2 linked regions of the Caenorhabditis elegans genome follow. The protein of the gene in region 2 interacts with the protein of the main gene of each other region in a pairwise test. Each region holds a gene or a part of one and is shown on either strand. Other genes may lie near its edges.

Region 1 (7,151 bases), on a different chromosome or scaffold from region 2:
AAGACTTCTTACACTGTGCTCTCCTTTTCCTTTTTGTTTGGACTAAAAAGTTATGAGTACTACAAATAAATATTCACATTGCTCAACTTACATTGATTTGATGAAGATGAATGAATGGAATTTGCCACAGTCTATTTAATCTTTCAATTTCTTGTCTTCTTGCTTGAATGGAGAAATAAATTCCACATGCTGCAGCAGTTATTGCCAAAAACAGAACAACAATAGCCACAATAACCCATATGAGATATTCATCAACGAAACTTTTCGGACACTGAAAATATTTTAATTGATTATGGATTTCTGAAGCTCACTCGTACCAGATTTCCTGTAAAACCACATAATGGCACATCAACAGGACGAGCGTTATTTTTTCTAGATGCCCACATTACACCTTCATCTGAATAAAGAGCGTTGAAAGTCTGAAATGTATACGATATATTTTGACAATCCCGACTGATCGATATATCTTACCGCACTCATATTTTCTACATAAATAGTTGCCATTCGAGTATTGTTATTATTTTCATCAAGAGCCAAAAGAAAAAGAGTTGGATTACGAGTGCCTTTTTCATTTATGGTAACATTTCCAGACATTCCAATAAAACTTTGAGGAAAATATCTCATGAAGGCAGTTGCATTACGATACTGGGCTATTTGTCCCGCTTTCAGCATTTTATCAAGTGCAACACCGTAGGCATACACAGCATCATGCAGTTGACCAGCATAGGTGGCAGCCTAAAATATTGAACGATAGTTTTACATTTTTGGAGTAATTTAATAGTTTGATGAATAACACACGCTTCTTTTCTGAAAGTTTTACTTCTTCAATACCTACCACTGTAAAGTTTTCCCCTTCACAGTCCTTTGTACAAAAGTAGGGAGCCTCTTTCATTCTGGCAATTATTTCTTGTCCGAATATTGTATAATTCGTTGCAATTGATCCTTGTCCCATCATCTGAAACATCATGATTTTTTGGCCTTCTTGGGTGGCTTCCGTCAGATAAAATATATTAGTTTGATAAGGCTACAAAAATGAAAACCTACGTCACAAATAAAAATGGATTGCTTGAAAGCTTTTAAAGCTCGTGTGTCGTTTTCATCAGACCCAGTAGATAGAATCCAAGATGGACGTTCACCTCCTCCAAGCAATGGAACAACTGAAATAAAGAATGTTTCGAAATACTTTCATGTGGATCCTACCGTATCCCTTTGATTTAATATCAGAAAAGACGTAGACGTATTCATCCCCAATCATTCCAGCTTCTTCCGCTGCCAGCAACCACTTTCGGCGCAACCCAATTCCATCCTTCATACATGTTACAATTACTGTAATTTGAGAAATGTGAATATTAAAGTTTAAGTTAATCTTACTTCTTCCTCTAGATTGAATCTTTTTCAGAGCCTCAATCATTCCATCATTTGAAATGTCGGCAACCTGGATGGAATAAGCAAGAATGATGTCTCCAAAGTATGATACTACTTGCTGAAATTCTCTTGTATAAAGTTGACACACCTTTGTAATAAACCTGTAAATCATTTCTCATTGTAACACATTTCTCCGTGTCTTCTTCAGTGAAATAAGCGTATACAAATTGACTCCACTCATATCTTTTCAAAACAGCTCGAATAGCAACTCCGAGACTTCGCTGCCCCGCCGACAGAATTCCGGCATTTGGAAATCTTTCGAAATCATCTAACTGAGCAGCGTTTACAAGACCCCACGCAATAATTGGTCGATTGAAGTAGTTAGATACAATAAAAGCAGCTAGCGTAGCTGAAAACATAACTGGTTTTTAAAGATTGGATCCAAAAATTAACTGTTACCAAAACATTTGAAAAATTTACTTACGCTGGTTCATAGTGGGCCCAATGATGACGTCCACGTTGTGCTTCTCTATAAGATCAACAGTCATTCCAGCGGCTTCAGATTCTACGCAATCGTCAAATTCAATAGTAAAACTGAAATTATTTTCAAAATTTACAAGATGATATGAACTATTAAAACTCTTCAATCCGGCCTGTCTATTTTTTTTTACAAAACAGTATGGCATTAGAAATAATCTACTTACTTGAATTCCCAACCACTCATTAGATTCTCCCTTTTCAATCTATCAACTGCAATTGAAGCTGCTGCTGCAGATGTACGATATCCAACAGTGATAGGTGCACTTTGAAAGTCTCTACAGTGAATAAATCCCACTCGAATCACATTTCCAGTGGTACCTGTTGCAACTTGGGGAAACATAGGTTTAGGTAACAACTGAAAAAAAATCATTTTTATTTTGTGGAATTCGCTTTCAAAACCTACCGTAATCACTAAAAACAAAACTAGAGACATTGAATAGAAGGGCTTCATGATTATTTTCTTATGCTAAACTGGCAGACAGCAGATCTTTTTATATCTGCACAAGGGGCGGTGGGATTTATAGAAACTTAAGTTTACTACGCCTGCCGCCTAATCCGTGAAACCTTATTTTTATATTTTTCCGCCTCCCGAAACAGTTGATACGTGAAAAAGCACGGAAGAGAAAAAAGCTTCTTTTGGACTTGATTAATCTGTTGGTCATGAGAAAGCGTGACACAAGGTAGGTTACGGTAGCAATTGCGTAATTAATCGGATCAGTCTATGCGCATTTCTGAAACATTGGGGATTTCAAATCTAGTTTATCAAACAGATACAAATCACATTGACATCTCGTGGAAACAGTCTGTAAAGTACCGCAAATTTTACAATTTTTGATATTATTGTCGTTAAACAAGTTCCATTTCAAATTTTTTATTGAATACGGTAAAAAAACAAGAGAGGCAGCTGGTTGAAGTGAGTCACTCTTGTTGAGTTTTCGTTACTGGAAACCTGAATGAAGATAGTTTTTAACTTTAGCATTACGCCTCATTATTTTCCTATTTCCTTTTTACTATTTTACTTGTATTTTTAAACTTTGTTTAGCACATTGAGCACATAAAACCAAATGTTATAAATATCCTTATCATCAACCCATCGGTTTCTTTTTAACTTTTTTCTTTCTCGAATTTCAATGACCCGGAAAACCACCACATCATATGAAAATCGAATCTAAAAATTTGCAGATACGCATCTGTCCTGCTGCGCTCTTTTTTTATTTTTGAATGTTTTTTTTTCTGCAAACGTTGGGAACAGTCATCCAATCCTTCAACCGTTCGTCTCGTTTTGAATGACAAACGTTCTCTTTCCGTCCTCTGTTTGAGTATATTTACATTGCTAATTCAAAAAAAAATAGTATAGAATATAATGATACTTAGAGATAGTTCTGGCATAAAGTTTAAACTTGAATGAAATCATCAATGCCATTAATAACTGTGTCACTGCATTAGTTTATCAGCAAGTGTGCCAGCAAAAAAAACGTTTCGAGACGATTCGATACATTCCTGAAAAACTTCGATAAAAGGGAAGTATCCAAACAACCACACCCAACTTTCATCATTGACTCGCTGTTTTGCTTTTTATTTTTGTTAATCTTCCTTACAATTAGTTTTAAAGTTTAAAACAAATATTACATGTTAGAAAGAACTGTATTTTGGTCAGTTTGTTCGAATAATTTCGAAATCTAAAACCTTTTCTTTTTGATGATTCGTCGGAGTAGATGTTTCTCGAAGGAGGTAAAAAAAACCGTGGGCGATTCTTGTTTGCATTGAGGATAATAGAGCAGTAGTAGAAAAGCAGGGAGTGTCAACTCAGTTTTGTCTTCTTCTTCCCCTATTTCTGTCTTACTTTCGTTTTGTTTCTTTGAAATAATTAGATTTTCAGAAACTATTATAAAATGGATCGTCGTTTTCCACCATTCTCCCCATTCTTTAACCATGGCCGGTAAGTTTCTAAATTCTCGTGTTTTCGGAAACTTCTATAGTTGAAGTAACATAACTTTCTGTAAATTTTCTTCTTTAATAAGTGACGTCACTCAAATTGTACTCTGCGCCGCTAGTTCTTAAAATACACAAGAATTTAATTTGGCGCGATTTCTAAAAATAAGCTAGCGAGAGGACTTTGTACTCCAGTTTAGCAAATAATGCTCTGAAAAATCATAAAGACTGGAGATTTTGACATATTTTTCTGCAATTAGAAAATTAGAAAATTAACTTTAAAAATTTTACAAAACTCCTACAAACAAGTTTTCTAGCAGATTCTTCGATGACGTCGACTTTGATCGCCACATGATCCGACCATACTGGGCCGATCAAACAATGCTCACTGGACACCGAGTAGGAGATGCTATTGATGTTGTGAACAACGATCAAGAATACAATGTATCTGTAGATGTTTCACAGTTTGAACCAGAAGAGTTGAAAGTGAACATTGTTGATAATCAGCTAATCATCGAAGGAAAGCATAACGAGAAGACTGATAAATATGGACAGGTGAGGGTTTCCCTCCTTCTTGAAAAACTCAAGTTTTGTATGAAGCTAGTGCAACTTGAAAATGTTTTCATGCATCCTTAGATTAGCTCTCAAGATCCTGAAACCTTACTCGGAAAAGGGCAAAAAGTTATCCAAAATAAAGGCCAAGAGTTCTAGATTATCCTTCCGCCTGTTACGCAATACAAGGAAGCCAAGCAACTCATTTCCGAGCTTATAACGAAGTTGTACTAAAGTCTAAAACCTCGTTGTGCATACTTTCAGGTAGAGCGTCACTTTGTCCGGAAGTATAACCTTCCAACAGGGGTCCGTCCAGAACAAATCAAGTCCGAATTGAGCAACAATGGAGTGCTCACTGTCAAATATGAGAAGAATCAGGAACAGCAGCCAAAATCCATTCCAATCACAATTGTGCCAAAGAGAAACTGATTTCAGTTACCTAAGTGTCTGTATTTTAACTATTTCAAAAATATTTATTCAATTCCATTATTGAAGTGACAATATAAACATTTTGTTTAGACTCCAACAATCTTTTGAACCGTAATGAATAGAGCATATGGGAACATGGATGGCCTCTTCACTTTCACATAAACTGAGCAGAAGTTGAAATCATCATAATAATCATAATCGATTCGAACTCCTTGTGAGTTTAAATCAACTTGCATTGAAGCGATTGAAGTATCGTTTGGTGATCCAATCGTTGAGAAAACCTTGAATTTAATCATGAAATCTTTTCAAATAGTGACGAAATTATACCTGTTGTGCTAGAGCAAGTGGAAGACTTCCATTGATAACTGCAGATGATACAATGACGTTTTCGAGTGTTTTATCTTGACAATGAGATTGACACCATTGAACTTGGGATACATCTTTTCCGCAATTGGAAAGTGAAGCGTCTGGAAATTTCTTAAAATCGATAGGAAATCTTTTAAAATTAGTTTAGAATACTGATGCAACACATTAAACATGATAAGATTCATTCTTTCCTGTTAGCAGATTAATTTATAATTGATGAGCTTTCTCTATCAATGACGTTTTTTTTTAGATAACTCACCAAAGTTGGTATTAAGTGCAACGTCGGTCTTGACTTTTACAGAAGAATCAGCAAGCTTCACATGGGAAGAATAAGTGAGAGTATGTGACATAAAGTCGTTCTATAACAATTTATATCAAACACTAGTGTTTTCTAATTTTGAACCCACATTGACACAGAATCCATTCAAACTGAAATAATTATCTGGCTCATAAGCATTGAAGAAGATATTCTTAGCATGTACTTGTGCCCATGTAGAAGGTTTTTGTGTCAAATCACAGGTAACACTGGCTCCAGCCAAAACTGTAAAAGTCGAGAGCAAGACAAACAAAACACGAGAGCACATGGTTACTACTGATAATGAGCCATATCAATTTCCTTTTATAGACGAAATTTTTGTAACTCTTTTAGTGACACTTTCTGGTTTCTGAAACTGATTTGGTTGTTTGCTTTGCACTTATCGAGAGGTTGAAGAGTGGGTGGAAAGTCAAAAATCCGATTAAAACAAGGAATAGTATTCAGGAAATACTTTGAAATGTTTTATACTTTATCATGTCGTTTATCAGGTGATTTGATATTCAAGTGCCAGAAATTATTATATTCTCGTAACTGAAAGTCACCATTCATTTATCATTTTATTCAACCCGAAAAGAATGATGATTACGTGAAAGTTTCTATTGACTATCTACATTGAATGATAATTATTTTCCAGCTGGCTTGAAATAATGCACAGGTAGTTTTGAGCCAACTCCAGAACCAACAAAACATTTGCATTTTCCGACTCGGCATGGAAGACCATAACAATTGTCTGATGTTTTTGTACATTTTGTTTGATGGCAGAATGTCAGAAGTACTTTGACGAAAAGTTTGTATCCGTGAGAATGGAATGCATTGACACAATCACAATTTCCATTGGAATCACAACCATTTCGTAGGCCACCACAATCCAAATCACTGCTGCACTTTTTGTTAGTAATGCAAGCATTACAGTCACATAGTCCAAGCTCACTTCCGAAACATTTTCCCTGAAATTTACAGACTTACATTTTTTAGTGTACCTATTAAGGGGGAGCAATGCCCATTGGATTTAATTTAATTTAATTTAATTTATTACGATAGTAAGATATCGTGAGGTAGAGAAAAAAAGAACACACATTAATAGATACAAACCATCACAAGTGGTTACATAAACAAATTACATAAATAAAACGAAACAGAAATAAAAAAGAGATGAGAAGAAAATAATGGCTACATTGGAGAAGAAGCAAAAAACACAAATATCGATGTATAAACGGCAAGAATAAATGATGGATAGAAGTGAGGATAAGGTAACATTAGATCAGTGTTGCTTCATTGTGGGTAGTGTTCTGTTGACAAAAAAGTGTCTCCTAAGTTTAGATTTTCCTGTGCTCCAGATATATTTCTTTTTAGAACGAGTTTGGGTCTCTTGTTGCTCAAAAAACTCAGATGTTTTTAAGTCTACTTTACCAGTATTCATTCTGGTTACTTGGATTCTGTCAATTATTTTACGTCTCGTGCTTAAGGTTTGGAGGTCGAATAGTTCGTTACGTTCCATGGCAGTTTTGTAATCTTTATCAGTTGGATTAATATATCTTTTTTTGATTCTACTATAAAGGCGCCTAGTGAATGCGTTTTGTACAGACTCTATTGCTTTCTCATCCGATTTTTTTGTCGGAGAAGACACTACTGTTCCATATTCTAACGAGGG
Region 2 (6,590 bases):
TCAAATTTCCGCTGAAACTGTGCAATTTTCAGCACAAAATGGATATTTTCAGCTGAAAATTCCAAATTTCTTAAATCTAATAGTTAAAAATCCATTTCTTGATTTTCAGCTAAAAAATTCAATTTTTTCTAATTTTTCACCTTAATAGTGGGTTTTTTCAGCTTTTGTAGCTAAAAATTGCTACTTTTTTTCCAATTTTCAGCTTAAAAAATTTTTTTTCGGCAAACATCAAGATTTTCCGCCAAGAATTTCTCTTTTCAGCAATTTTTCACCACAATAATGGGAATTTTTAGCCAAAAATTACATTTTCAGCTGGAAATTCCAGCTTTTCCTGCGATTTTTCAGCTTAAAAATCAATTTTTTTCGGTAAATTTCACGATTTTCAGCTAAAAATTCAAATTTTTCCGCACTTTTTGTACATCTGCATGGCTCCTTTATCGGCTTTTTCGGAAAAATCTGCACAATTCGCATTTTTCCACGTATTCCACTCCTGCTCGCGGAGCATAATTCGCTTGAGCCCGGCAACGAATGCAGTGCCACGTGGCATCGTATCAGCCAGCAATCTATAGCATTTATCCTCACATTCTGACACATATTTCGCTTGATCCTCGTTTAGCACCATTTTTCTGGAAATTTTTTTGATTAAAAATCATATTTTCTACTGAAAATCGGTCAAAAATACAGTTTTTGACTAAAAAAAAAAGCAATTTTTAGGTCAAAAAAATCATATTTTCTGCTGACAATCGGTCAAAAATAGAGTTTTTGACTTTAAAAAAAAGTAATTTTTAGGTCAAAAAAATCATATTTTCTACTGAAAATCGGTCAAAAAGTGCAGTTTTTGACTCAAAAATCGCAATTTTCCGGTCAAAAAATCATATTTTCTGCTGAAAATCGGTCAAAAAATACGGTTTTTGACTCAAAAATCGCAATTTTTAGGTCAAAACCTCGATTTTTCGGTCGAAAACTCACTTTGCCGGGGGTTTAAATCGAGATTCTGCTGTCAAATATTGAAAAATAATGATCGCCTGCATTAAAAAGTACCGTCGGAATGAAGAATCGTTGAGTTGGAGGGCGAGAAGCTGGAAAAAAAATAAAAATTTTGAGATTTTTGGGGGAATTCTGGGAGAAAATCGATGATTTAGTGGGAATTTTGGTCATTTTTCAGCGTTTTTCAGCTTTTTTAAATCATTTTTTCCAGTTTTCAATCATTTTTAAATCGATTTTCATCAATTTTCCAGCCAATTTTACCTTTGGAGACGTCAAATATTTGGTAAAAAACACGTCGTTACTGGATCCTTTTTGCTGCTTTTTCTGTCGATTTTCCAGAGCTTCTTCCTCTTCGGAGGAGAGTTTTTCCAGCTTATTCGACGTCATTAGGGTGAGAACTGCTGTCAAATCCTGAAAAAAAGGGATTTTTGGCGATTTTCAGTTAGAATTTGTGGAATTTCAGCGATTTTTCCGGCCAAAAAACCTCAATTTTCAGTGATTTTCAGCGAAAAATTACCGTTTTAAACGTCAAAAACTTCTCCTTTTCGTATATTGAATTCGGATTTGACATGAATTTTTGAAGGGACCAAAACTGGCGATACATCTCGGGAGTTACTTGGATTTCTCTGAAAAATGAGCAAATATTCGAAAAATCATGTAAAAAATGCTCAAAACTGCGATTTTCTAGCTTAAAAAGTCAATTTTCAGTACGAAAACCGTCTGAAATCGCTGAAAATCCAAGTTTTTCAATTAAAAAACCATTTGGTCTGCTAATTTGTAGTTTGTAGTCTAGCAGACCCATTCTCTACAACACCACATGGGTCTGCTAAATCGAAACTTGTAGTTTGTAGTCTAGCAGACCCATTCTCTTCAAAACCACATGGGTCTGCTAAATCGAAATTTGTAGTTTGTAGTCTAGCAGACCCAAAAAATTCAGGTAAATGATATTTTTCAGTGGAAATTTCTCGCTTTTTTCCGATTTTTCCGTACTTTGAGTTATCCTCTTCGATTTCTCCAGTTTCCATATCCTCTGCTCCTTCCGTAGGTGTTGGAGCCGATGACGTGGCAGCGAGAAGAGCTTCACCGTCGGTTTCAGACTGAAATTTTGCGATTTTTTGCGATTTTTCAGTCCAAAAACCGAAAAAATACCTCGTCGTAGTTGGTAACGTTAAGCGTGTTGAAGTGTCCCATAAAGTTTACACCGGATTTTTCGGTTAGCGGGAGGAATCTGGAAAAAATTGAGTTTTTCGCAGGAAATTTTGGGATTTTTCGAAAATGTTTCGCTTTTTACCTCGAGAGAAAGAACATAATTCTTCCGCAGAACGATGTTTCAGCGGTTCTACTCAAGCGGCGGAGCAAATCGTTGCAGAAGCGTAGAATATTGTTCTGGGCGGTTTCAATGAAGCCGGGCTGCAAAAAATCCGCTTTTTATCGGGAAAATTCTTTGAAAACCGGCTTTTTACCTGCTTAAACTCGTTCATATTCTCTTCTACTATGCTGAAAATCTGCTTACACTCCTCAATTGAGCTCATCTCCAAGAGGTCCTGTAGAGTGCTCAGGGGAGTGTTTTTGGAGCACAAACCTGCAAAAAACTCATTTTTAAACGAAATTTCGAGAAAATAATTACCAAGCTTGGAGCAATTCATCACAAAATGAAAATGCCGCCTTGCAAGCTCTTCCTTGGTGGCTGAAGGCTGCTCGGCGACCTTGAATCCCCGCTTTTTCAGAAACCCGTCGACTTTTAGAAGCACAAATTCGTCGTCTTTCCTGTAAAATTGCATTATTTATCTGATAATTCTTTTAAAAACTCACGCAGTCTTTTTTTCCGCCTTCACAACCTCCTTTAACCCGTCCAAATCCCGATTTTCGATAACTGTCTCCATTTTTTGACCTAAAACATTAAAATTGACGGGTGAAAGTTGAGAGATTAACGACTAAAATTTTTTATTTGTTTATTTTCGCAATTTTAAAATAGAAAATCAATAGAAATCGGTTCAATTTAATGAAAAAATTAATTAATTCGAAAAAAAAATTATCGAAAAAAAATCACTTGCAACGAAGCTCCGAAATAACGAGGCGCGTGTTGTTTACCGTAAATCAAACTTCAGCCAATTTTCTTATTTTTTTTTCACAAAATACTCATCCGGCAACGTTTCTGGTGAAAAATCTGAATTCATCAAGTTCTAAGGAGTATTTTAACATAGTAAACTTTGAAAAAACATATTATCTATCTGCTACATGGCGTTAGTTAAAAATAAAATACTTCAATTTCCCTTTAATCGATTCCTATGAAATTTTTCTTTAGTTTATTAGAAAAAACCATCATAAAATGTGTATTTTAACTTCAAAAAATTAGGTTCTCAATGCTTGAAAGCTTGAGAAAATTAATTTCCAAAAATTTGTTCACAACGATGCTCCGAAATAACACCCTGCGTGTTGTTTAGCGACACCGCCGAATTCATAATTTTCCTTTTCATTCGGTTTTCTTTGATTTTTAGCTGGAAATTCCGATTTTTTTTGCATTTTAAGCACAAAAATCAGCTTTATGAGGTTTTCTGACAGTTTTAATGCGTAAATTTGTAAAATAACTCGAGAAATCGCTTGGAATCTGATTTTTGAGAATTTTTTGCATTATCTTTGTTTTTGCCGGATTTTTAAGAGTTTTCAATGATAATTGTGCATTTTTGCCTAATTTTTTGCTTGTTATAAGTGACTTTATGTAAAAAATCTCAAGAAAATCATTTAAAATCCGAGAAATTGAGCTAAAAATCGATATTTCCCGAAAAACATGTGAAAACTTGTATTTTTTCAGTTTTTCTTCAGCTTTTCCCCAGAATTCCCCACTAATTTTCTTTTATTTTTTTCTTTTCAGGTAACGAAATGGCCAGTCAAGCCGCCTCAAAAGCCGTCACCTTCGCCTACAACGGCACGATCGCCAGCACGCTTCGCAAGTTCGCATGGAGCAACTTGTGGGGAGGACGCGAGTACGGGCTCCAATTCCACGACACCTACTTTGAGCCGGCTCCAGAAGTCACCGAGGCTCTCAGACGCCTTAATCTCCAGGAGCCACACGTTTTCGATCAGAGAAAGGTGAGAAAATCGATTAAAAATTGGAATTTTCAATCTTTTTTTACTTCAGATCCGTCTTTCACGTGCCCACACTTTGGCTCTCCACGGCGAGAAGCTTCCAAAGGCTGAATGGACTCAATGGGATCAGGTAGCTTTTCACTCGAAATTCAACTTTAAAAAATCTATTTTTCTTCAGGAATCGTGGTACTTGAAGCCATATTTGGACGAGATCGAGGCAGAGAAGAAGGCTCGCGCCGAGACATCCGGACTCATTCCACCATACCAAATGAAGCAACATTAGATTCTTCGAATTCTTCAAAATTATAATTTTCCGCGCCCTTTTTTTTCGTCTTTTTCTGTTAAATCACCTCTCTCAACCACGTTTTTCTCGGCATTCTAGCGGGAAAATCGTGTGAATTTTGAAATTGTGAGTAAATTTTGAGTTAGAAATTCGATTTTTTTTTGTTGTTTCACAGTCAAATCAAACGCGAATTTTTTCAGAATTTCAGACAAATCAGATGATTCAAGTGTCTGCTAGGCTACAAACTACAAATTTCGATTTAGCAGACCCAAGTGATTTTGAAGAGAATGGGTCTGCTAGGCTACAAACTACAAATTTCGATTTAGCAGACCAATGGGTTTTTTAATTGAAAAACTTGGATTTTTTGCGTTTTCAGACGGTTTTCTCACTGAAAATTAACTCCTTAGCCTGGAAAATCTCGATTTAAAGCAATTTTTACAAAATTTTCACTTCTAATCTCCAAATATTCCTCATTTTTAAAAAATATTTTTCAGAGAAATCCAAGTGACTCCAGAGATGTATTGAAAATTGGTCTGCTAGACTACAAACTACAAACTTCGAAACTTCAAATCGTGACATTTTATTCGATAACCAGCCGATGACCGCGCCTCCGGCGCGGCCAACGACTGGCGGAGTTTAAAATGTATAACAAATAGATGTCCTTTTAATCATTCAAAAATGTCTCATTAAAAAAAATTGAAACTTCATCGATTAAATCGCATTTTCTCCTTCCATGGTATACTATTCAGAAAATTCAAAGAGACAGTTAGAATGTTCTGATTTTTCTACTACACATTATCATTATCAGGCTTTCGAAAAAATTCCACAGGGTTACAGTTTTTTTAATAAGTTAACAACTTTCCTTAACTGGAGAAGTCTGAATAATTAACTACTAATAGTAAGTTCTTTGAATATAGATGTAACGAAACAAATAAAAACTCCTACAGTTTTAGGAGGTTGTAGAGCATTTCAGAACTTTTTTAAATTTTCCAGATGATTCTAGAACAGTCTAGAATTTTCTTGAAACTTCCAGAAGGTGCTGAAACAAAAAAATTGATTCCAGAACAAAAATTTGGATTTCCCGCCAAATGTTTTCCTCAGAAAATTTGAATTTCCCGCTAAAATTTCTTTTCTCATAAATTTTGAAGTTCCCGCCCATATTTTTAAGGGTCTCACCACGATAGGTCTCGCCAGTTCCAGGTGGTACTTAAGCTAACAAAAAGTTTCTCAGAAAATTTGAATTTCCCGCCAAAAATTTTTTCTCAGAAATTTGAATTTCCCGGCAAAATGTTTTTCACTGAAAATTTGAAATTCCCGCCAAAATGTTTTTCACTGAAAATTTGAATTTCCCGCCAAAATTTTTTTCACTGAAAATTTGAATTTCCCCCAAAATTTTTCTCACAGAAAATTTGAATTTCCCGCCAAAACTTTTTCACTGAAAATTTGAATTTCCCGCCAAAATTTTTTTTCACTGATTTGAATTTCCCGCCAAAATTTTTTTCACTGAAAATTTGAATTTCCCGCCAAAAATTTGGGTCTCACCACGAAGGGTCTCACCACGATGGGTCTCATCACGATGGGTCTCACCACGATGGGTCTCGTCACGATGGGTCTCGTCACGATGGGTCTCACCACGAAGGGTCTCACCACGAAGGGTCTCACCACGATGGGTCTCACCACGATGGGTCTCACCACAATGGGTCTCACCACGATGGGTCTCACCACGAAAGGTATCGTCACGATGGGTCTCACCGCGATGGGTCTCACCACGATGGGTCTCACCACGAAGGGTCTCACCACGATGGGTCTCATCACGATGGGTCTCACCACGATGGGTCTCACCACGATGGGTCTCACCACGATGGGTCTCACCACGATGGGTCTCACCACGATGGGTCTCACCACGGTGGGTCTCACCACGATGGGTCTCACCACGATGGGTCTCACCACGATGGGTATCGTCACGATGGGTCTCACCACGGTGGGTCTCACCACGATGGGTCTCGTCACGATGGGTCTCACCACGATGGGTCTCACCATGATGGGTCTCACCACGGTGGGTCTCACCACGATGGGTCTCGTCACGATGGGTCTCACCACGATGGGTCTCACCACGATGGGTCTCGTCACGATGGGTCTCATCACGATGGGTCTCGTCACGATGGGTATCAGCACGATGGGTCTCACCACGATGGGTCTCACCACGATGGGTCTCACCACGATGGGTCTCACC

What was found. The genes of interacting proteins can lie anywhere in the genome.
Region 1: the proteins of T02H6.11 (region 2) and hsp-17 interact in a two-hybrid assay, tested with the Caenorhabditis elegans proteins (one large-scale study listed by BioGRID).

Annotation. Positions count from the first base shown.
Region 1 is NC_003283.11:8,382,561-8,389,711, reverse strand, and holds hsp-17 (SHSP domain-containing protein), read left to right. Parts: upstream 1-3,784; 5' UTR 3,785-3,797; coding exon 3,798-3,844; intron 3,845-4,154; coding exon 4,155-4,392; intron 4,393-4,653; coding exon 4,654-4,818; 3' UTR 4,819-4,904; downstream 4,905-7,151. Other genes in the region: gcy-7 (Guanylate cyclase), read right to left, coding at 1-42, 92-271, 318-419, 472-735, 836-955, 1,045-1,157, 1,201-1,326, 1,372-1,483 and 4 more; F52E1.14 (ZP domain-containing protein), read right to left, coding at 4,905-5,099, 5,146-5,285, 5,444-5,543, 5,592-5,768; F52E1.5 (Chondroitin proteoglycan 3), read right to left, coding at 6,124-6,447.
Region 2 is NC_003280.10:698,395-704,984, reverse strand, and holds T02H6.11 (Cytochrome b-c1 complex subunit 7), read left to right. Parts: upstream 1-3,859; 5' UTR 3,860-3,867; coding exon 3,868-4,077; intron 4,078-4,126; coding exon 4,127-4,204; intron 4,205-4,252; coding exon 4,253-4,357; 3' UTR 4,358-4,503; downstream 4,504-6,590. Other genes in the region: thoc-1 (Death domain-containing protein), read right to left, coding at 411-626, 970-1,079, 1,249-1,398, 1,505-1,613, 1,978-2,084, 2,137-2,215, 2,279-2,397, 2,451-2,569 and 2 more.